Linked DNA regions of Drosophila melanogaster. The protein of the gene in region 3 interacts with the protein of the main gene of each other region in a pairwise test. Each region holds a gene or a part of one and is shown on either strand. Other genes may lie near its edges.

Region 1 (8,183 bases), 5.6 Mb from region 3:
AGCATGGCGGTAAATATCGAAAGTAATCGGTTCTTGAATTCAAAACTTGTTATGTCCCACTCCCTTTTTAAAGTTATGCAGCGAAAATATTGTTGTATAAGTTAACCAAAATCAGACCAATAGAAAAACTAAAAGAAAGGGCGTTAGGCTATAAAATCTAAATCGAAGCATAAATAAATAGTAAGCATATAGTAATCGTAGCAGTGTTGTTCAAATTAAGCAACATTCTGATTGGAACAATACCTTTTACAATTCGATTAAATTTTCGAAGGAGTTGCACTTGTTCGTCTGTGTACGTAAAACATTTGGAGTAAAAAACCATGCCTAAAGACTACTACAAGATACTGGGCATCCAGCGCACTGCCAATGATGGCGAAATCCGCAAGGCATATCATAAGCAAGCGCTGCGCTACCATCCGGACAAAAACAAGAGCCCTCAGGCGGAGGAGATCTTTAAGCAGGTGGCCAAGGCATATGAAGTCCTATCAGACAAAAAGAAGCGCGGATCGTACGACTCCCGCAATGACAAGGGTACCCGACGCAATACCGCGAATCAAGGTAGCGGTTTCGGCGATGGAACGGCATTTGGTAGCTGTGGTGGTGGCAGTGGCAGTGGCAGTGGCGGTGGCAGTGGCGGTGGTCGCCAGAACAACCCGCGGGCCAACTTTGGACGTTTCTTCGACAACAGCGAATCATATTCTACGTTCTTCGAGGATATCGAAAACGATTTTGACAGCGACGATGACGTCCTGTTGGGTGGAGGAGCGGGCGCGCCTAAACGTCGTTGCGAACAACAGTCACCCCAGTCAAGCATCGAACATGTAATATACGTTGCTCTGGAGGACATTGCCAACGGGTGCAACAGGCGCATGAAGATCTCCCGGGCTTCGGGTAGGAACGGCGTTGATGGGGTACAATATGACAGAATTCTCACTGTCAAGATACCTCCGGGCTGTAAGGCTGGCACCAAGATCTGCTTTCCCAATGAGGGTATTCAACTGCCCAACCTTGAGCCCGCCAACGTCGTGTTTATAATCCGGGACAAGCCACACCCAATCTTTCGCCGCGATGGCAACAATCTGCTGTACACAGCCGAAATCTCGCTGAAGGATGCTCTGTGCGGTTTACACGTGATGGTGCCGACGCTTCTTGGCAGGCCGATGGAACTCAAGACCGACGTGGGCGAGGTAATCAGTCCGAAATCCGTGCGCCGCATTCTGGGCTACGGATTGCCCGATTCCATTAATAATTCCCGTCGCGGCTCCATCGTCGTCAGGTTCTCCATCCAGTTTCCAGACGCCATATCCAAAGAACTCGCATCCTCGCTCGACAGACTTCTGCAAAACTGATCGAATGGACACCTGGAGATGTTATCCGTCTTTATGAACGGATCAACGGATCATACATACAACAAAAAATCATCTGTGCTCCACATAAAATTACATATTTTTTTTCTATGTGATTCAATAAAGATCTTATAATCTACCTCTAACAAGCATTGTCCGCTACAAATACCTCTAATAAGAATGAAACCAGTGAAGTACAGTTTAATTATACGTATAATGATTAAACACAATTGTGAGGGGTCAGGTTTAAACGTCGGCCGGTTTGAACTGCGGATTGTGCGAGCGTGCCATCTTGGCGCGCAGCCACTCGTCCGCGTGACGCTGCTTAATGTGGACATACATATTGGAGCGGGAACGGCACTCCTTGGGGCAATGCGGACAGTTGTACAGCTGCAGGCCCGTGTGGATGGCCATGTGCTCGTCCAGGTTGCGCTGCTGCTTGAAGGTTTTCTCGCAGAACGTGCACTGCAGATTGGTGGTCAGCTTGTGGGCATATTTGACGTGACCGCGGAGCGCTGTGCGCGATGTGCAGGTCTTGCCACAATGCGGACACACGGTGTCCGTGCTGTCGTGTGTGAAGCGGTGCAGGCGCAAGCTGTGCTCGTTCTTCAGCCAAACACGGCAGATGGGGCACTCCACAGCCGGGGCCACGACGCCCTGGTGCTCCAGCAAATGGCGCTCGAAGGAGGGCTTGAACTTGAACTTCTTCCCGCAAATGTCGCAAACGTGACGATGCAGGTCTTCGTGGATGGATTGGATGTGCCTTCGCAGGCGGTGTACATTGGCAAAGCTGTAACAGATAATTTCATATCAAATACTCAACTTGCAAGACAGTTTTTTTATCTTAAAAAAATTATTTCTTTCTTGCTATTCTCGAAACAGTGTGAGTGCGGAATAAGTAGACAGCTATCCCTCTCATTTGCGTGTGGAATGAATAAAGATTACTAATTCAAATATGGGGCAAGAATTCCAATTCGATCAGAGACCCTGCTCTATTCTCACCTTTTGCAGCAGATCTCGCAGGTGTGCTCCAGTTGATCGGTGTCGTGCTTGGCCAGATGATTGGCCATACGGCGCTCGCTGCTGAAGGTGCGTTCGCACTTGGGGCACGGGAACTTGAGCACCTTGCCGATTTGAGCCACCTTGTTGTGCACCGTCTCGATATGAGTGGCCAAGTAGTCCTGCGAGTTGAGCGACTTCTTGCAAATGGTGCAGCTATGGGATTTTAAAGTCTATGTAGCAACAGACAGAACCCTCGGGCTTCAAACTCACGTAAATAGCTTGGGGTTGATATGTTTGCGGATGTGGTCCATCAGCTTGGAAGCGCGTGTAAAGACTTTGCCGCAGCACTTGATGTAGTACTCGCGCTGGTGCACCTCCAGGAAGTGGGTCTTCAATTCGGATAGGTAGGGAGCACTAAATTCGCACAGGTCGCAGCTTGCACTCATGTAGCTAGCAATGGCCTTCTCGTAGCTCTTGGCCAGCTGAGCACGGGAGCAGCCCTTGGGCTTGCGCTCGAGAACGGCCTGTAGCTCGGACTCCTGCGACTCGGTGGTTGTTCGCTGGTCAGGTGCCTTCCTGCGCCGACGCTTGCCACCATCGTCGAGCAGATCTGCAAGCTCCTGCTGCAGCGATATCGGACCCTGATCCTTGGAGGAACGTGCCGAGGTTTTGCGCTTGGGCTTCATTTTCGATTTCAGACGGACCAGGGGTTCATCTGCAATGGAACAGGAACTTAGTTACGGCTAATCCTTGGGAAACATTAAGATAATAACCATCTGAGGAGTCAGATTCAGATTCCGGCTGCCCCTCGGTCACCTCCGGTTCGCTATCACTAGCTTGCAGGCAGGGCTTCTCGTCCTCCTCCTCCTCGCAGGGCAGCTGCTCCTTGATCGGTTCCCTGACTTCCACACTGTCCACATTCACGTCCAGCACGCTTCCCAGCAGACTAAGGTTGTGCAGGTCCAACGGTTTCTCGTCCATGTCGCCAGCCGCCAGCGGCAGTTCGTCGATGTTGACGTCCACGTCCACACCGCCCGTCCACTTCATGGCCGCACAGTCGACGTCCACGGTAAGGAACTCCTTCTTGAGTGAGCACTGCTTCTGCTCCACCAGCTGCCAGAAGCCATTGAAGTCCTCCAGATGCTCACAGCACTCGGTACAGACGCTGGTCGAGATGCCGTCGTCTGGTAGGATCTGCATGGGATGGCTTATTGGAATTGTTTTGATACCATTGGTATTTGCCAGATACACTCACCTCCAGCTGCAGAAACTTCGCAATCATCTTGACCAGGCGCGTCTCCGCAAGCGTATCGTCCGTCTCAAAGAGGAAGACAGCGCTTCCGGGACTAAGACATCGCAGGCAAAGGCGACAAATCATTTCGCGCGAACAGAACCACAACGCAAAGTCAAATAAATAAAAAATTTAAACAGTTTTTCGTTGTAAACAACATAATTCACCTATCGTGAATCGATAACAGAATCCAATTGTGAATGGCAAAACTTCATCTCAGGAGTTTTTTGCGGGGTGGCCACCCTGATCGTTGAGTATTTCTCTTTAATTTCTCTTACAATTTATGGTCTACGTTTTTAATTGTCTGCAAAATACGCTGTAAACGATTATCCATTAATTAAAAATCGAAAATATGAAACTTAATATATCGCTGGATACACATCAAAACGATGGCATTCTGCGGACGGTCAGGCAGCACGCCAATCGACCCACACAACTCTGGCAACGCTTGCCGTAAAATGGCAAAAAAATAATACATACGATTTAAAACTAATGGACAATTACGTATTACGTGAAAAGAACGCAACGCAAATAATCAAAACAAATAAGAAACGCAACTCGTGTGCGTGTGTAGTGTGTGTGCAGAGCTAAAACCTAGCGAAGGAAAGGCAAAAACCCGTGGAAAAAGCGAATTCAAACGGGTTTACTCGAAGCCTCCTCACCCGATACCATTTTCCACCTACACTTGCAAAAAAGCGACAGCGCGCGAGAGGGACGGCGCGAGTGAGCGGAGAGTGGGAGAGCGCAGTGCAAGTGAGTGGGAGCGAGAGCGCTGACAAAGCCAGCGCAACATAGCGAAAATCGCAACCAAATCGAAATCGAAATTCAACCAAATCGAAGATTCTGGCGAACAAAGGCGACTAACAACAACAACTGCAGCAGCGGCACGTCTCGTCTTGGTTGCGCTCTCTTTTGTTTTCGTCCCGTGTTTTAACAAGCGGCGAAACGGGCGCTGAGTAAGCGCCAGAAAGAGTGCAAAAAAAAGGCGAAGGAAAGAAAGAAGCCAAGGAGCAACGAACTGTGTTTGCGGTGTGTGCTCTGCGTGCGAAAGGGTAAGCTCTATGGTCTCTCATGCTCTCGCTCTGGAAGTAGGCCGGAACCGAGATTTGTTTGCTAAATTATGTTTAATTGCACAGCGGGTTTGTAAATCTGTGATTTTGTTTGTAGAAAATACGCATTGTATCAAAGAAATATTTTTGTCGGTTCTGTCAAATTCGACGTGTGGGAGTGGGAGGGAAGTTCAGCTAGTCATGTTGTCCCGCTCTATATCGCAAACAGCGTTGCATTTGTCGTCGGCAGGTCATCGTGGTCCGTTTTCTCTTTTTGTCGGCATCGATGCATAGAGTCCGTGTTAATTTCCGTTTAATCGCTAAATAGCACGCTCTCTAATTGTTTAATAATTGCCAGGCGACTGCCACCCCCGGAATTAGTTTCACTCGGCGGTCTGGCTGGATCCCAACGGACCAGGTGGCAACGCCGCGCTCCACACCACTCACGCACGCAATACATTCGAAAAGTGAGAAGTGGTAGAGGAAGAACTCGAGGAAGAAGAATTAGCGGCAAACTTTATGTTGGACGGTGAAAAGCAGAATCAAAAGATATCAATTTCCGCGAAGTTAACAGTTAAATAACCAACATACAGGCGGCCAAGTGTGCCAGCAGACCGCGAAACATTCGAAGTAAACAAATTCAAGCGTTTTCCATTCAGTTTATCATCGCTGCCCAACAAACGAAACTCCCCGAGTGTATTGCTGTGTGCGTGCGTGCTGTTTAAACGGTATATTTTACTCGTCTCTCCTCTTTGTTTGCCTTTGCCAGCCACTGTGCCATGCAAAATTAATAAAAGGATACGGCTGTAAAACAAAAGGTGGTCAAAAAAAAAAATTGCACTCGTCGATTAAATAATAACTATCAAATCCTCTCGGTTTCTGCGAACGTAAGTGTGTGTGTGTGCGTGATGTGTGCGCCTGTGCCTGCGTGGTGTTAGTGTGCGTTGTGCTTGTGAATGGTTGTTATTACAAAAAGGAGACATAGAATTGTTGCCAAGCGTTTAGATTGTCTTGTACTCCCCCCACTTGCATCTGTCAAATTGGTTACATTTTAAATGCCGGCCTTTGTTGTTGTCGCTCTTGTTGCGAGGATTTTACTGGCCCCGTTTTTTCTATTGTTGCTGTAGTTGTCAGCCATTGTTCGGCCGCCCCTTCACGCCCCCTGCCGCAATTATTACAAGACGCCACCGCAAAAAATTCTTTCAATGCGTTGCCGCTTCTGCCGCTGCTGGCGCTGGTGTGTGTGTGTGGGTAAATCTATCTAGCTGTCCCGCTTCCGCTGTCACCCGCCCAAGGCAGCCTCTCAGTTGCGTGTGCTGCGAGGCACTGGCTGTCCTGCTCGCACCAAACATTGCCTGCATTCAGTGTCGGATCAAAGGGGGGAGCGAAACTGGGAAATAGTTGCCCCAAACGTTTTCGTAATAAACGCAATATCAACAAAATACCAAATGATTCTACAAACAGTTTCGAATGGTAGTAGTCGAATGGAATTACACTCTAGTTGTTACTTTAACGAAGCATTAAGAACTTGAACGTATTTCGCAACAGCATGTGTTGGAAAACTACCAAGAAACTTCTTTAGTTTCAGTGGAAATGAAATATCAAAAGCATTTCTACTAAAACTCGGTTTAGTTGAAACCCATACCTATTATTGTTTGAAGAGGTTATTTTCCAAATTATTTGCAATATCTTTCTAAGAAGAACCAATTTTCGCTACAGATCCACCTCTGTAAGCGTTAGTGGTGCGGATCGGTTGGGGGTGGCTAAATAGAGGAGTTCCCGGACACACAATAACCAGCGTGTTGAAAACAATTTGTCGGGAGCACCACCCACTTGCAACTGACTAGCCTCGCCTCGCTACGCCTGCACCTATACTCAATTAAATGCCTATCTACGCTTTTGTATTTTGCAGCCCACCAGAAAGACTGAAACAAGGAGCTTCGGCCCAAAAGCGATCCCAGCTCCTTAAACTCATTCTCGTCAAGAACCACAGCCACATCCTAGCCCATCCTCCAGCGCAGCGGGAAGACGAGGAGCGCGGCGGTGGCGAGAAGGAAGCTAACGCTAATGAGGATCTATTGGCAGCATGAGTACACTGGGGGGAAGTAGGGGAGAGCGAAATGCCAAGCCCAAATTCACAGCGTTAGATATAAATCGCATGTACAAGAATAGCCGCGTAAGTAGCGAGCCCCTAGACCTAGATCTAGATCTACATCTAGATCTTGATAGATCCAAACCTATCTGATCGCCAACTTGTTCTTATTGTTTGCAGGGCGAGTCAAGTGAACCATCTGCACAAAAGAATCAAGTGCCACGTAAACATGGAATGCAAATCTTGGGCAAAGTGCCGTCCGCTAGGCGACCACCAGCCAATTTGCCATCCCTGAAGGCCGAGACCCACACCAGCAGCAACAACAATCTCTTAGTCTCAGTCGAAGGTGGGTGTTCTACGATTTTATCTTATTGAAAGCGTGTGTACTAAGATGTACCTTTAACTGGGTGAATTTTCCATTTTAGGAGCCACATCTGGTGGGGCGGGCGCAGGCGGAGCAGCGGGATCTGGCGCGGCAGGAACCAACACTAGCCACAACAACACCACTGCCCACAGCGGAAGTTCAGGAACGAGCGGCGGAGCGGGATCAGGCGGCGGAGGAACTGCGTCTTCATCTGCTGGTGGCCATCTATCCCAGCAGCTGACTCACAGCCAGCATCAGCACAATAATAACGTCGCTCTCGGCCCTAACGCCGGAAAGTTTGTCAACAGCAACAACGGCAGCAGCAACAACAACGCCGGCAGCTCAGGCAGCGGCAACAAGAACTTCAAATTAATCAACAACTCCGTGGGCAGTTCCGGCGGAGGCGGACAAGGAGGGTCGGGCGGCGGCGGATCGTCAGGAGTAGGAGGTGGATCAGGGTCAGGATCGGGCGGACACTCAGTCAACTCACCCAAGACATGGTCTGCAATTACCACAGGACACGAGCGGGGCTCGGGCGGTCAGAACTATGGACGCCAGCAACAGCAGGTGGTCCCCCATTATCAGAGTCCACAGTTCCAGTACGAATTTCCCACGCTGGACGGCACAGTTGGCAGCGGCGCCGGCGGAGGATCGGGAGCGGGTGTGGGTTCAGGATCTGGAGCGGGCAAGAGCCATTACCAGAATCAGGTGCACCATGCCGGCCACCAAAACCATCACCAGCATCAGCAGCACCACCAGCAGCATCAACAGCACCACCACCAGCAGCAACAGCACCATCGGGACTACCACCATGGCCACGGGCGCCAGTATGGACACCACTCGCATCGCGACTACAGAGATGGCAGCGACGACGTCGGCGGCGGGTCCGCGGATCTGGGCGAGCTCAGCCTTCGGCCACAGAACGACACGGCCGCCTGGTTGCAGCAGCAGGAGAAGGCGGCCAAGGTGGCAGCAGCTGCGGCAGCGGACCAGGGCCTCAACCTACAGGGCCCGGGCCACCATCAGATGGGCGGTAATG
Region 2 (7,580 bases), on a different chromosome or scaffold from region 3:
TACGAGTGCCCGCCCCTCCCCCATTTGGGGAAATTATATAAAATTGTTTCTAGAGAGCGTAAATGGCGTACTGAAATCTGTAAGGCATAAAATCTATAGCTCTGTTACTTACAACTTGCACGGATACCTTCATCATATACATTTGATTCCTAACTGTGATTTTTTAGTAGAAGTCTGGTTATAAAACACATTTCCTCACTACTATTACTTCCTCGAATGCACCAAAAACTACGATGACTTCTTTCAGTAGCCAAAAGACGTTCGATTCGAAGGAAAAACTTCGAGATTTCCCTACAAGTGAAGGTCACCAAGTCGAGATTCCCAAAAAAAAGAGCCCTACTTTATTTTCCACGGCTAATATAAAAAGTGATTTTGGTGGAATAGCGAAACCCCTGGCATATGGCCCACTAAAAAGTCATTTTACAATTATTACCGATGACTTCGCGCACTGCGTAGCTGACATTTCTGCTCTAAAAAATCTAATTTTATTCGTGGAAACACGAAAAAATACCATAAAATATGCATGGCAATGGTCCAAAAAAAGAGCAGACCAAAAAAAAAAACAGAAAGAACATTGCTAAAAACCGGGTCACAGTCCGGAGATCCGAGAGTCAAGAACCAAGGGTCTTCTGCGAAGTGTCTTTGGGCGATTTTATGATGCCAAAGAAGCGACTAAGTAAGTTGTCATTTTCGGTTTATGATGATTTTGTGATTTTTTGCTCTCGTTGTTATATTTTTTACGCTCTACATATTTGTACTTCGATTTTCGATTTTTTTTTCGCAGGCCAGGACCTCCGCAAAACAATGGCAGACTACTAATGTCGAGCAGGCCGAGAGTTTTATAGTTTTTTATGGCTTTATGGCCGAGCCAATGACTTCTTTATTGGTGCAGGTCCTTGGCGCGGAGGAAGCGTTTCAGGTCTTTCCAAATTATTTTTTATGGCCATCGTTCCTGCTTTCCGCATCCCTACGATTTGGTTTCCGTTTCCGAGTGTCGGAGGATCTCTCTACTATAAATCTCGCGTTTTCCACATGCAAATAGTGGGACATGTGTTTCCCCCGGGAGAGGGCTAATCCTTTTGGCCATGTGTTGACAGGCGCAACAACAATAGTAACAATATTAGTAACGACAACAAATGGATATAGCAGGAAGTCAGCCAGTGCGATGCCATATATCATGTGCTGGGAAATATTCGGCCTGTGTCTTTCATGTGTCTCCACTCCGCTGGTGTTTATCTATTTATTTATTTATTTGCCTTTGTACACTTATGACATGATGTTAATTACCGCTCGCGACTCCACAGGCCGAAAGGCAGGGAACCGAAAGGGTGGGCGGAGTCCGGGCCGTCACTTTGAAATGGAAAAGTTCGCCGACTGTTTGCCAACCGTCAACAGCGGCGACAATTGCCAAACGCCGAGGCTAAAGCTAACCGACACTGGCAAACCGACGGTACATCCGATCCGATGTTGGAACGGATCGAAAATCAAAAATCGACAATCCGAGAGTTCCAGACACACGCACTCTGGGAAAAAACGTCCTGCAGCAGGACCTTTGCCTATTGATTCAGGCTGTTTGATCATTGGCTCGCCGCCGCTTGGGAAAGTTTGTACTAAATGTTGTGTACATATTGCTTAATTTAATCACCCAAAGTCAATCCTGCCAAGGACCGCTTGTGACGGAGTGTGTCGCAATGGGCTTAGTCTCAGGATCCTCGGATCCTAAGTCCGTATACGGGTAAAACCAGTCAATGGGAATGTTTCTTGTTTTGCCAAGTTAAAGGATTAGTCGCAGATCCATTGCGGAAATGCTTCACCTGGAAAGTCGACAAGTCAAAGTCATGGGAATGTACGGAATTCGGAAGCAGGATAATAGGATATGCATTATCCATGTTTTGTCGGACTTGGGAAATATCTTATAGTTGGCGGAAAATCCAACCGAAGAATAGGATTTAATTCGGAAGCATAAATATGGCATGTGCAATTTAAAACTATTCATTAATGAGGAAAATTCGTATTTTCTTGAATGCTATGAAATATTTGTCTTTTTAAATGAGATATGAAAAATATTAATTATATAGAAGCCCGAATAATAATAATAAAAATTGTAAAGATATTTAACTACAATATCCTATAAATAACAACTACATTAATTTGATGCTTCAATAAATTTTGATTGGAAACATTCAACCCGCAGAACTTATATCTTTTAACCTTTTCCTATGACTTTACCTATTTCTAGTTTCCAAGCAATTTCCTTCAAAATATGTTAAGAAAACTGCCCATAAAGTGCACCTGCTTGTCTCGATTCAATTACAAATTATTAAATAATTATCCAAGTGAGTAGCATGAAGCATTTCGAATGAGGAACTCATTAAAGATGATTTGACAAGCTCGAGTCGCACTTCAGTTGAAAACGGTGAAAGTTCAACTATTACTTAACAACTACTTAAACAACTGAATTACAATAAATACAATACTGAGTAAAATAATTAAAAAAACTCGAAAATAAATGGTGTGTGAAAGGCATACCCAAAACTAACCAGTAATTGTGTACAATCCTTTTAATAAAGTCTTTCAATTACATTACCATTACCTCAAACTCGTCGTTAATTTGCTGTAAAATATGTCCGGCTTATCCTGCCGGAAACCCTTTTAAAAGCCAATCAATTTTCGCTACAAACGGCCGTTTCCACCCACTCGAAACTTTTATCGCCATCGCTTTGAAGCGGCTAATTGAATTCCAGATTAAAGTGTAAAGCAAAATGGGGGGGAATAAAAAAAACTGATTTGTATTGCAAATTAAAATTTAAGTGAAAACGAATCAGGCGCAAACACAAACAGGGACAATAGATTACAATATCCTGCGGCGCAGACAGCACGACATTAAAAAGGCACGAGGAGCAGCGAGAGCTGGCGCGGAATGGGTATGGACATGGCAATGGAGGTGGAAGGGACGCGCCAGGACGACACAGGACCTTCGTGCAGCTGCTGCTCCTGCTGATGGCACATGCGCCTGGGAGGGCTGCGTTTCGGGATTGGGACTGGGATGCGGGCTGGACTCCAGCGATGGCTGCCTGCCATCAGCGGCAGAAGCAGCAGCAGCAGCAGCAGCTACAGCAGCAGCAGCAGCAGCAGCAGCAACGGCAACGGCAGCAGCAGCAACTACGGCAGCAACATCGGCAGCAGCAGCAACACCAACAATATCCCAGGCTTGCGACCGTCAGGCCAACGGTTTCCGCTTGCTTACTGCTGGAACGGAAAAAGCCAAGGCACATATATCCATGCACATCCACAGGCACATTCGGTCGGAGCCACATCCATGGGATAGTAGATACCGAACGCTGAGGGCCAATCCGAGAGCAGCAGGTAGGCGTGGACGTATCTACCATTTCCAAACAACTTCAACCCCGCCACAGGCAGCTGCCGTTGGTCGGGCCGCTCGCCACCCTCGTCGCCCTCCTCCGCACTTCTCGGCCGGTTCAAAAACGGGTCGCCCTGCCAGCAGTTGCAGTCAGTTATTAACGAGCGCTACTCCCAACAGCAACATCGCTCAGCGGCAGCAGCAGCAGCAGCAAAAGCAAAAGCAAAAGCAACACTAACAACAGCAACACGAGTCACTCAAACGTGGAAGCGAGACAGGAATATCAGCACTCCACTCGCCTCGTTTCACTTCGATTCTCAAGCGTTTGAGTCGGAGAGCGGCGAACGGCCAACGAATTCAGTTTGTGTCGAGACGTTGTCGGTGGCACGTCGCATCCAAAAGAACGCTCAGTCAGCTGGGAAATATACTGAGAAAAGATACATTCGTAGATACAAGTGCTAAGCCAAAGTGAACCGTGCAGTTCGCGCAACTAAACAATTTTAAGCCAAATAAAACTACACAAGGCCAACAAAGACAGTATAATGTCTTCCACATCGGCCTCACCCATCAGCAACATAACCGTGGATGACGAGCTCAACTTAAGCAGAGAACAAGGTGGGTTCAAGTTCAAAACTGGCTCAGAACAACTTGGCAAATGCCGACGGCAAAGCGCATTACTCTCTAGCACTTTTTGACTAGTTTCAAAAAATGTTCCATTAATATTTGAAAGTAGTCTCACATAGCATTGCATTTATATGAATTGAAAACTAACCGTGGGCATTTCTATTCCTTCCTTTTTAGACTTTGCTGAAGAGGATTTCATAGTGATCAAGGAGGAGCGCGAGACAAGTCTCTCCCCCATGCTGACGCCCCCGCACACGCCCACCGAGGAGCCGCTGAGGAGAGTGCATCCGGCGATAAGCGAGGAGGCGGTGGCCACCCAGCTGCACATGCGACACATGGCCCACTACCAGCAGCAGCAACAACAGCAGCAACAGCAGCAGCAGCACCGCCTGTGGCTGCAGATGCAGCAGCAGCAGCAACAACATCAGGCTCCACAGCAGTATCCAGTTTATCCCACAGCCAGCGCCGATCCCGTGGCCGTGCACCAGCAGTTGATGAACCACTGGATCCGCAACGCAGCCATCTACCAGCAGCAACAGCAGCAGCAGCAACATCCGCACCATCATCACCACCACGGCCATCCGCACCACCCTCACCCACATCCGCATCATGTGCGTCCCTATCCCGCTGGCCTCCATAGTCTGCATGCCGCGGTCATGGGTCGCCACTTCGGAGCCATGCCCACCCTGAAACTGGGTGGTGCCGGTGGAGCGAGTGGTGTACCCAGCGGCGCAACTGGCAGCAGTCGGCCAAAGAAGCAGTTCATCTGCAAGTACTGCAACCGGCAGTTCACCAAGTCGTACAATCTGCTCATCCATGAGAGAACCCACACGGACGAGAGGCCTTACTCCTGCGACATCTGCGGCAAAGCCTTCCGGCGACAGGATCATCTGCGGGACCACCGGTACATCCACTCCAAGGACAAGCCCTTCAAGTGCAGCGATTGCGGCAAGGGTTTCTGCCAGTCGCGCACCCTGGCCGTGCACAAGGTCACCCATCTGGAGGAGGGTCCGCACAAGTGTCCCATCTGCCAGCGGAGCTTCAACCAGCGGGCCAACCTCAAGAGTCACCTCCAGAGCCACAGCGAGCAGAGCACCAAGGAGGTGGTGGTGACCACCTCACCAGCCACTTCACATTCGGTGCCAAACCAGGCATTGAGTTCGCCTCAACCTGAGAATTTGGCACAGCATCTGCCTGTCCTGGATCTATCCTCGTCATCCTCGAGCTCAGAGAAGCCCAAGCGGATGCTGGGCTTCACCATCGATGAGATCATGAGCAGATAGATTGAAGGACCAGCGAAACCCGGTATCCGGTTTCTTTTGAGACATTCTAAAAGAGATTCAGAGAGCTGGACGTCCGCCAGGCATGGGAAATGCCTGGAATGGAAAACCAAGCGAGTCCAGCCCGCATTCTGGCCAAAGGTGCAAGTGGAAAATCCTCGCCAGCAACTCGTAATCGCAACCCAGTGAGCAGAAGAGTCATCCTCCGTGCAATCGGTTCTATGTAGCAGATCCCAATTGCGTTAAACAAATGCCAAAGTCAAATAGCAGAGGAAAACTGATGAAAAATCCAATGAAAAGTATTGCTAGCACAAGCCTCCTACAAATCGATTCCAAAACACACACACACACACACAACTGTAAACTATAAACTTTAATAAATAGCACATAATTTATATTGTAATCTAACTATTATTGTATGTACCTTATAGTCGTAGTAGCCCATTCAGTTCGTAGTGCTTATGGAGTAAACCAAATGTTATGTTACAATAGCTCAATCAAACAAACCTCAAACCCGCTTTGGTTATTGAAAGACTGTTTTAATTATTATATTTAAATAGTACTTGAATAAATCAATCGATCGATTGTGTAATGTTAAACCCCGACGAGTGTCATGATTACTTACTGTTTAGACTTAACAACTTAATTGTCGCTATAGCAATTGTGACTATGCACAACGATCTCATTGTCGTCTATATGTATGTCTGAAACATTCGTATTGATATGAAGTTATCACAAAAATACGTAAATATAAACGCAAAGTAATTTTCAACTGAAATTTAATAAGACTTTTTATGAATACGGTGGATTTTGTGTTTCCAGGTATTTGGCAATGGCAATTTCGCCTTGATTTATCATTACTTCTACTGGCAACTTGATAATCTTTATGGTGTACTAAGTTAAAGTTATCTGAAAAGATTTAAGCAGCAATTTTTTGATTACCTTCTACCACCTACTGACTGATTCAAGTTCCAAGCGGACTGAATGATTTTGATCTACTTTTAATCACTTTGAAATCTTTCTTATCCGCTGACTAAATCCCACGCCATTCCGATTTGGGAATTTTCTCATGCTGCGAATATAACTCAGTAGACTGAACTCGTAGGACCATATAAGTTGAACCATCAAACAGCAGCTGTCAAAATTTATTAACCATCCGAATATAACTCAGTTTTTATGCAGATCTCGATTTGCGCATTTTTAAGCAGCTCTATTATTTTTCAGGTTGCCGATTAAGTAAGCAGAAGTCTCGCCACCAAAAATATTCAAACTGTCGCAGAAGTTAATTTATGAAATCGAATCGAATTGAATTTGATGTCAGTTTTGCTATGATTTTGTCATGAATCGGTTTCGATTTCGGTAACACTATGGTTATTGTTTAACTTTGAGGTGTGGTCCAAATATTTATGGCCTGTGTTTCAGTTTTGGGTTTAGTTCAGTTTTCATTGTGGCTTCTCTTGAAAATCGGGAACGTGCCAAATGCCTTGCAAAAGGTATGTTTGATTTCCTTTAATGGTGGTTTTCTTTTCTAGTTTCTTCCATTGGCAATTGCATTTCTCTTAGCACGCTTCTTACTCAGAACTGTCAATTTCAGATTGTGATCTTTGTCTCAAAATCGAGCATAGGATTGTCTTTAATTGAGGCCTGAGGTCGTTCTGGTTACCCCCGGGGGGAACCCGCATGAGGGGTCTGCATCTGCCTCATTTGCTGCTCGATTTCCATTTCCATTAGCATTTCCATTTTCCATTTTCTCCACCTTGATGACATACTCTCGGGCCTTATGGCCATGTACAATTGATTTGGGCCCTCTCATTGTGTTGGCTTTGATTTGCTTTGTTTTCGTGCCAGAAAAGTGCCAACGTATTCGCCAATTGATGTCTACATAGATGCCTTTTTTTTTGCCCAGGATTACTTTTGACAAGTATCCTGGCCGCGCCCCCTTGGCCATGCATATCCTGCTGACTTTGGCCAAACCTTAACCTTAGTCTTATCTGGCCGAGTTGGTCGGGTGGTCAACCGTAGGACTTGTGTTCCGTGTTTTGCAACACTTCGCCGCAGGCAGTCTAAGGACCTCGAGGATCTTGGTGTCCTGGCATTTCGACACACCTTGTCCATAATTGCACTGCGTACAACCAAAATATTTTGTGAAAGTCACAGCGGGAGGGCGAGTTATCCCGACCAGATTGATATGTGTCCGCATGGGGTTGTGAGTCCCTTTTTTTTTGGGCCATTTTGAGCCACAATTAAACGCATCGGTTCCGCAACTAGGGTGGCATGCAGCTCCGTGTCCTGTGGATGTCCTGCCATTGTAAATT
Region 3 (7,792 bases):
GCAAATAAACTATATATACATATATGTATTATATAAAACTGATCGCTTGTGTCACTTCTGAAATATTTATATATATATATTCAAAATATATAACAAATTTCACCCATTCAGAAGAAATCTTTCGTTGTAATGAAAATTTGTCGGCTTGTTTTCGTTTCTTAATGTTGATTTTTTGTAATGGTTTATTAAAAAAAAAATAAAAACACTTAAGCTAATGCCTAACATAAATACATACCGAATTTAATCGAATTGTTTTTCACTTCTTGTTTTCGTTACTTTTCTCTATGCGTAATTACTATCAATTGTAGGTAATTTGTATTTGCTTTCTGTTTTTTTTTTTTTTTTGTTTTTTCAACATTATATTTTCCGTTTCGCTGCGCCTTTGCATTACAATAAAATTTTAATTCGATTTAAGTTTTACAGATTTCTCAACCCGATCTCATGTTTATATAATATAATGTATATATAGATGTGGGTGTTATGTGCATAATTTTATAAGTCAGTTGTGTTTTTGTCTGTCCATCTGGTGCTGCTGCTTTTTCTCCTTATCTCTTTCGATGTCATGCATTGCTGCTAATATTCTTGGAAATTTATTCAGGGGCATTTGGTTCCTCTATTGCTTTGGCTGCTGAATTCAAAACAGGAAGTGGGAGACAGACACCAAACTGAACCAGCAGCTTGCCGCCGACTCTAAATTCGGGATGTTTTGGAAGTCCACTCGCCGATTTCAAGATAATTAAGTGGATTCTGATACCCAAAAAGTTGATGCTGAACTCAATGCGAGAGTAGGACAAGTGCATCTCAGAAAAACTAAAAGCTAGCTTTAATCGATGAACTCGACTAACTCCCCCATTCCATTCTGATTCAGAATTCAAGGACGAAAACGCTTCCTACTGCCTGTTCCATACCTTTTTTTCACCAATCCAGCATACGCTTAACTCCACGGGTAACGCATATAAAGAATGATTTCTACATCAACTTCAGACACCCAAAAGTATTTAGAGATCTGCAGAGACTCCAAAACATCCGCGCCATATATCTAACATATTTTACGTGTGTATGTGCTGAATGTGATGCTACTTTGGCTATGGCTATGCTAATCAGGGACTTTAGCAGCTGATCGTTCGGGGCTTAAGCTAAAAGAGACCTTCTTTCCATTCTTAACTAGCCTACTTAGTGGGTATGAAACGCGCCTTGACCGCCTGTCCCATCGGCAAGTGCAGCAGTTGCTGCTGCTGCGCCGCCTGCTGCTGTTGTTGCGCCGCCTGCTGCTGCTGTTGTTGTGCCGCCTGCTGCTGCGCCTGCTGCTGTGCCGCCTGCTGCTGCATGTGCTGATTGATCTGCTGCTGGATGGACAGGCCGCTGACATTGCTGATATGCTGGCTGTGGAGCGATTCGTTGATCTCGATCTTGATGGCCGTGGCGGCCAGCGTTGTCGCCTTGTTCTTGTTCTTCGGCGGACGCCCACCTGGATATGCAACGAAAGGCGTAGTGAGATTCAAAGTGAATGAGTGAATGGTGAGCACTTACGTTGCCCTGTCGTGTGCTGCAGTGACAACGGCTGGCCGATCATCGCCAGCGGCTGTTGCGACGTCTGCAGCGTGCCCGCCTTCTTGGATCGCTTCGGAGGCGGCAGCTCGTGGTGGGCGTGATTGGTGAGCAGGTGCTTGGAGAGGTGCTGGCGCACCGCAAAGGACTCGGCACAATTGGCCACCGGACAGGAGAGGTAGCGACCCTCGACATGGCGCTGCACGTGCTTCTTCAGCAGCGACTCCTGATTGAAGCTACTCGGGCAGATGTCGCACTTGAACTTGAACTCGTCGTGCATCTTGAGGTGCTGGTCGAGATGGGCCTGCTGCAGGAACTTCTCGTCGCACTTGTCGCACTCGTACGGAAAGGCCAGGCCGTGGGTCTTCATGTGCGTATGCAGCTGCGACTGCAGTTTGAAGTTCTTCTCCGGACAACGCGGACAGTAGTAGCCGGTGACCCCAGCGTGCGCCTGCAGGTGCTGGTTCAGCGAGGTCACCTGCGTGAACTTCTTGTTGCACACGTTGCAGCAGTACTGCTGCACCTTGTGGTGCGACTTCATATGGTTGTTCAGGTTCGTCACCTGCAATGCGAGAACATATCGAGCCGTTATTATCATAAATCCTCTGCAATTTATCAATTTATCTTGGAACTGACCTGGGCGAAGCTGCGACCGCACTCCGGTTCATTGCAAACGAAGGGCCGTTCGCCGGTGTGCAGCCGGCGGTGATTGTTCAAATTGGTGATCTGCGTGAAGGTCTTGCCACAGTCCACGCACTGATATGGCCGATCGTTCGTGTGGATGCGTTCGTGGTTCCGCAAGTTGGCCGCCTGCGTGAAGCCTGAAAATCCAAGAGGTACATCGATTGTTAAGAACCAGATGATGTGTGCGAACGGCATATGGGACTCACCTTTGTGGCAGTAGGTGCACACAAACTTACGCTCCGCCGAGTGATTTCGTATGTGCGTCATGAGCGAGGATTTGCGCGAGAAAGTTTTGTTGCATAGCGGGCAGGAGCCCTCCTCGTTGAATATCAGATCCACCTTAAAGAAACAAATCGAACATTAGTTGCAAAGGGCTTGCCTTCTACCGCGGGTTACCTTCCATCAGAAAGGCATTATATATGATATGCCATTTTACTTTAATACAACCTACTATAAATTTATGCGAAAAACCTTTTTTCTAAGCTGTACATTATATATGCATATAGTTCTAACGAATAAGTAGCCAAGTGCACATCACTGTGTCACTATCGCCCTCCCACTCCCACTCACGCTCAACAAGCTGGCGGCCAAAAGAACGGATTGCAAATTCCCGTGCGAATTCAGTTTGTTTATTGGGGAATCACTTGAGTTACATTTAATATTTTTCACGAGCTTTTTTTTTATTATAATTATTTTATTTATTTTTCTGCGTGCCACGCACACCCACACACCAAAAGCGCCAACTGAAAATGAATTTTTTCCGCTTTACACAGCGCACAAAAACGCCGAGCTGCGTCGACTTCGACGTCGACGTCGACAGAGCAGATATTAATGGAAAAAGAAGCACAAAATATATGTGTATATACATATATCTATATATATATATATATATACATATAAATATAAAGGAAAACAAGAAAATGAGCAGTGCGAAATGTAGCAAGTGGAATAGAAAATACTCTCACGCTCAACACTTTTCTAACCCGTTTGTAATGCATATCTGTAGGGCCTACCGTTTTTAATCTTCTATAAGAACTTTCCAACACTACCACGTCGACTGTGTGATGGAATGAGACTGTACTGAAGTTTTTTTTTTGAAATTTATGTAAATAGCAGCAATAGTAAATAGTATCTAAACATGTCTGCAATAGAGCATTCCCAAGTCGTCGCAAGGCAATTTTACATTTATTTATACATTTTTTTTTTTTGCAATTCTCTGTTGCATGATGGAAAAAGAAAGGCAACAAGAACATGCAAAGAAACGGCGAAATAAGAAGTGAAGAAGAAAAGCAGCGGCTATGAATGTGCAGTGTGTCCGTGTGCATTTATGTATATGTATATGTAAGACTTTTGTGAGCGGGGGAGTAGTAGTGAAATGTAAGAAAATGAAGAGAAAATAGCACAACAATAATAAACAAGTGCAGCAAAAGGAGCAGGAGTCGAACTCCCTGGGAAGTAAAGCACTCTTCTGAAAACGGTTGATGGGGGTCTTCAAACCCCTATAATTCCAAATGCAATGCATCTACTGAGGATTGCAGTGAACTCTGTAATTAGGTTTAAATTGTCAATTTTTTTGAATCATTTATAGTTTGATGGGCAATTGCATTGATTGGATTCCTAAACCATAGAACACTTTTCGTGGACTATTAAACATTAGGATTAAATTTTAAATTTATTCATAGATATTAATATACATATTCAAGACGTTCATATTTTAGTTGAAAATAAGAACGACCTTCAGTTATTTACTTTATTTATCTCCTTTAGTAAGCCCTTTGCAGCACTGTATTCGCTGCCACTTCTTGCCATGCCTCTCGTAACACTACACGTAGTGCAACCCACTCACTATGCCCTTTGCAACACTCTCCCTGCCTTGGTATCCCAATCCCTGAAATGGACTTACGTCTTCGGAGTCGTCCTGCGACTGTAGGTTCTCGGAAGAACTGGATGATTGCATTTGCTGCTGTTGTTGTTGTTGCTGTTGCGAGTTCTGATGCTGCTGCTGCTGCGGATTCTGATGCTGCTGCTGCTGCGCGATGGCGTCGCTGTCGCTGGAGGAGGCCGTCGACGAGGAGGTGGCCGCCGCTGCTGCAGAGGCGGCAACTGCGGCCGAGGCAGAGGCAGCGACGGCTGCAGCGGCCGCCGCCGACTGATGGAAGTTGGAATTATTTGTCAACTGCTCCGAGCAGCGGACGCACGTGGGTATGCTATAGCCGGGCACCTGGAACAACTGTAGGGCGGGGGAATAGAATAGAACAGAACAGGACACGTGAATTAGAGAGTGCTTCCAATTGGAAAAAAAAAACCAATAATGCTCTTTATTTATTGTGGCAACTCAATCTTATTCCACACATACCCTCCCCCTTCCATGCCAACTAGCCCTTTCTCTTTTCCACCAACTAGAAATAAGAGCCAAGAAGATAAACACACGCACACACACAGGCACGCACACATGGAGAGCGAAAAAGAAAGAAAAGAAACTACAATAACAACAGCACCAGCAGCTCGTTGCTTTGTTGTTGTTGTTTTCATTTCATGTTATTTTTTTTCTTCGGTACAACGTTTTGTTATTCTTTCGCTTTTTGTTTTGCTTTGCCGCCGCTCTGCCAGCGGCGGCGGCAGAGGCGTCGCCTACAAAAAAGGGGTTATTTGGTAATTGTTTAAATAATGAACTAAAAACCAAGCAAAGTTAGATCTGTTTTGTTAGTTTTATAACCGCTTAACTTTAAATTTTTGGGCTTAGATGCCCAATATAGTAAACCCTCTGTCACTAAATTAACGCGCAGCCACTGCGTATTTGGCTGCCTTGGCGCAATTTCTGTCATTTTGTTTTAATATGTATTTCTTTTTGTGCGGTTCATGGGCGGCGGGAGGGGGCTGAAAGAGGGGGGCCTGTTCGGGGGAATAGGTTGAAAAGGAGTCAAAGTGAAAAGCGAGTGGCGAGCGTAAGCAAAATGTAAAAATAATATTTTTTCAAGTTGTCGGCTTGAACAACTTTTCGGGCTGAGTTGGCTAAAAATAAAAATTGTTCAGCAATAGTTTGGGGTCGCATGTGTATGTGTATTTCTTATTTCTGTGTGTGTGCGTTTGTATGTGTGTGGGGAAAGGGGGGCAATGCGCGCGCTTTTGAACCCCGCCCCCTGCGCCAACAACCCGCCCGCACAATAACAGTAGCGCGAATTCAATTGTTTAAACTCCACCAAAAGAAAAAAAATCAATAGAAATAACAAAGTGTATATACCTAAATCACATGTGTGTATATCTTTTTTTTTTTGTTAACATACCGTTGCCGTTTGGAAGCACAATCTACAGATGGTGTCCATTATAACAGTAAATAAGGAATAGGATGGGGAGCAGGAGAAGGAGGATGCACTTTGTTGCTGACTTTTGCCCCCTCTGCGGTCGTTGTTGTTGTTGTTGTCGTCCTTCTCCCTCGCAATTTACCGCTATCTTTACCGGTTAACATTCAGCGCCGTTTTTCTTTTTCGTTTATTATTATTTAGTTCGTTTTTTTTCTATCTTTTTCCTTTTCCTTCCTACTATAAGTTTGTGAACACGATCCAAACGATGTGTGGTTGTATTTGAAACTAACTTTTTGGAGTTTGGTTTGCGTTTGGATTTCGGTGATCGCTATATGGCATATTATGATGGCAAAAACAAAAAAAAAACTATATAAATGATATAGAAATTTGATTTATACGATATTTTCGTGGTACACACACACACGCGCGTTGTTTATGTTTGCCTTGCACTTGCACATACAAGCAAAAATGCGGCGCTGTTGTTGTTGCTGCTTCGAAGTTCTGCTTCTTTTTTTTGCTTAATTCCTTTGCCCTTTTTTTGGCGTAGTTACACGTGAAAAAAAAAACAAACCAGCGCGTTCGAATGCGTTTTTTTTTTGTATTTTACAATTCACGACGAAGTTTTTGTCCGTCGTCTTTTTTCCCTTTTTTTTGGGGCCCGATGTTATTGTTGCGCTGTATGCGTGAGCCGTGTGTGTGTATGTGTGGGGAAAAAACGAATACGATAAGAATACGCGGTATAGTTGTGCTGCTCTAACCCACAGGTTGGCTTGGCCGGTGCTCCTTGGCCTGGCCTATCGATATTTCTATCGATTTCCGTAATCGAAAACGAGGCGGGTAATGGAATCGTTGTTGAAAACAAGTTTTTTAATTTATTATTTATTTAATATTTAATTGCAAGTCCGAAAGATTTATTTTATCATAGGTTATTTTATTTAAATAATTGATGGTGTTTTTTAGGCAGCCATAGAATCATGAACTTTATTTTACAACAGAATAAATATAAAATCATTTTACAGAACAAAGTGAAACAAACATAATACAAAACTTTCACAATAATTAAACAAACTATGCTAAACGATGGGTACAAATAATAAACACTTTAAATTGGATACTTTTCACAATATTAAATCTACTGTGTAATCTAATAATAAAATGAAATGGACCTTTTTTTAAATACAGTAGACAAATGTCCAGAAAAACAGATTAAAGACGAGAAAGGAGAGCGGAAAAACGAATCTGGCTCGACTATCAATCCACATGGCTATTTCCTGGGGCGTTAGCGTGGTCCAGCCACTCAGATCGATCTCCTCCTGGTGCCCCGCGCTCTCCGTTCGGTTATTGTTGGTCAAAGTTTGGCTGCTGCTGGCAGCACTGATCGCTCCAGTGGACTGGGCAGAGCCCATGGATCCAAAGGCACTCTCCACAAAGTTAACATCCATCTTCTGGACGACGCGGCTGGTCCTCTGCTGATCCAGAACTTGGCCCTCCTTAATCGTGGTGATGGGCAAATTGACGGTTAGGTAATTGTTGAAACCGGCACCGCCCAGCGAGCCGGTATCCGCTGTCTTATGCAGAGCCGTGCCCGAAAAGGATCTGGATCTGGCGTGACTGCGTCGTCTGAGCAGATTCGGCGATAGAGTTGACTTCAGGATGTGTTTGCTGTTCAGTTTCTTGACGGGCACACTCTTCTTACGACGCCAAATCGTGTTAACAAAGGCGAACTCCACCATGCTGCCAAATATGAAGATGGTGCAGCCCAGGAACCACACCTCTGACACCTTGATGTAGCTAACCTTTGGCAGAGTCTTTCCCTGTGCCGAGGCCAGGGTAATGAATGTCAGCAGGGTGCTGGTGCCCAGCGTGATGCGCGGCGGCGCCTGATCTGCTTGCAGCCAGAACGATACCCAGGATATGGCCACAATCAGCATGGAGGGTAGAAAGTAGTCCATCAGGTAAAAGCCAACCACTCGCGTCAGGTGAACGGTGAAGCTGAGGGAGCTGTAGTTGCCGGCAAAGGCTCCATGACGCAGGTCACTCAAATCGGCATTGATTACCGTCTCGTTTGACCAGGAACGCTGCAGCACAAACTCGGTGAGATGCAGTGCCCCATCGTAGGTTATCGGACGCTTCTGCTCCCAGTGGAGGACCAGTTCCGACGTATTGTACATCCAACTCTCCAGCACCGTCGAGCAGTGCTGCTCATCGAATGGGAACTTCTTAAGGTTGAGCCAGCAATAGAGTGTCGCCTTGATGCG

Evidence for each region. Proteins that work in one complex are often made in the same cells at the same time.
Region 1: the proteins of CG32772 (region 3) and CG2889 interact in a two-hybrid assay, tested with the Drosophila melanogaster proteins (one large-scale study listed by BioGRID).
Region 2: the proteins of CG32772 (region 3) and odd interact in a two-hybrid assay, tested with the Drosophila melanogaster proteins (one large-scale study listed by BioGRID).

What each region holds. Positions count from the first base shown.
Region 1 is NC_004354.4:10,470,561-10,478,743, reverse strand, and holds CG2889 (uncharacterized protein), read right to left. Parts: upstream 4,807-8,183; 5' UTR 4,659-4,806; exon of another isoform or gene 4,069-4,658; intron 4,029-4,068; exon of another isoform or gene 3,956-4,028; 5' UTR 3,727-3,955; coding exon 3,604-3,726; intron 3,543-3,603; coding exon 3,122-3,542; intron 3,064-3,121; coding exon 2,619-3,063; intron 2,562-2,618; coding exon 2,349-2,561; intron 2,137-2,348; coding exon 1,593-2,136; 3' UTR 1,543-1,592; downstream 1-1,542. Other genes in the region: CG2887 (uncharacterized protein), read left to right, coding at 321-1,349; nocte (no circadian temperature entrainment), read left to right, coding at 6,775-6,864, 6,961-7,126, 7,206-8,183.
Region 2 is NT_033779.5:3,602,682-3,610,261, reverse strand, and holds odd (odd skipped), read left to right. Parts: upstream 1-3,505; 5' UTR 3,506-3,903; coding exon 3,904-3,976; intron 3,977-4,162; coding exon 4,163-5,268; 3' UTR 5,269-6,038; downstream 6,039-7,580. UniProt on the Drosophila melanogaster protein: Pair-rule protein that determines both the size and polarity of even-numbered as well as odd-numbered parasegments during embryogenesis.
Region 3 is NC_004354.4:4,907,522-4,915,313, reverse strand, and holds CG32772 (uncharacterized protein), read right to left. Parts: upstream 6,213-7,792; 5' UTR 5,995-6,212; exon of another isoform or gene 5,863-5,994; 5' UTR 5,556-5,862; coding exon 5,517-5,555; intron 4,463-5,516; coding exon 4,136-4,462; intron 2,934-4,135; exon of another isoform or gene 2,803-2,933; intron 2,572-2,802; coding exon 2,439-2,571; intron 2,370-2,438; coding exon 2,185-2,369; intron 2,111-2,184; coding exon 1,531-2,110; intron 1,469-1,530; coding exon 1,170-1,468; 3' UTR 153-1,169; downstream 1-152. Other genes in the region: CG6927 (uncharacterized protein), read right to left, coding at 6,707-7,792.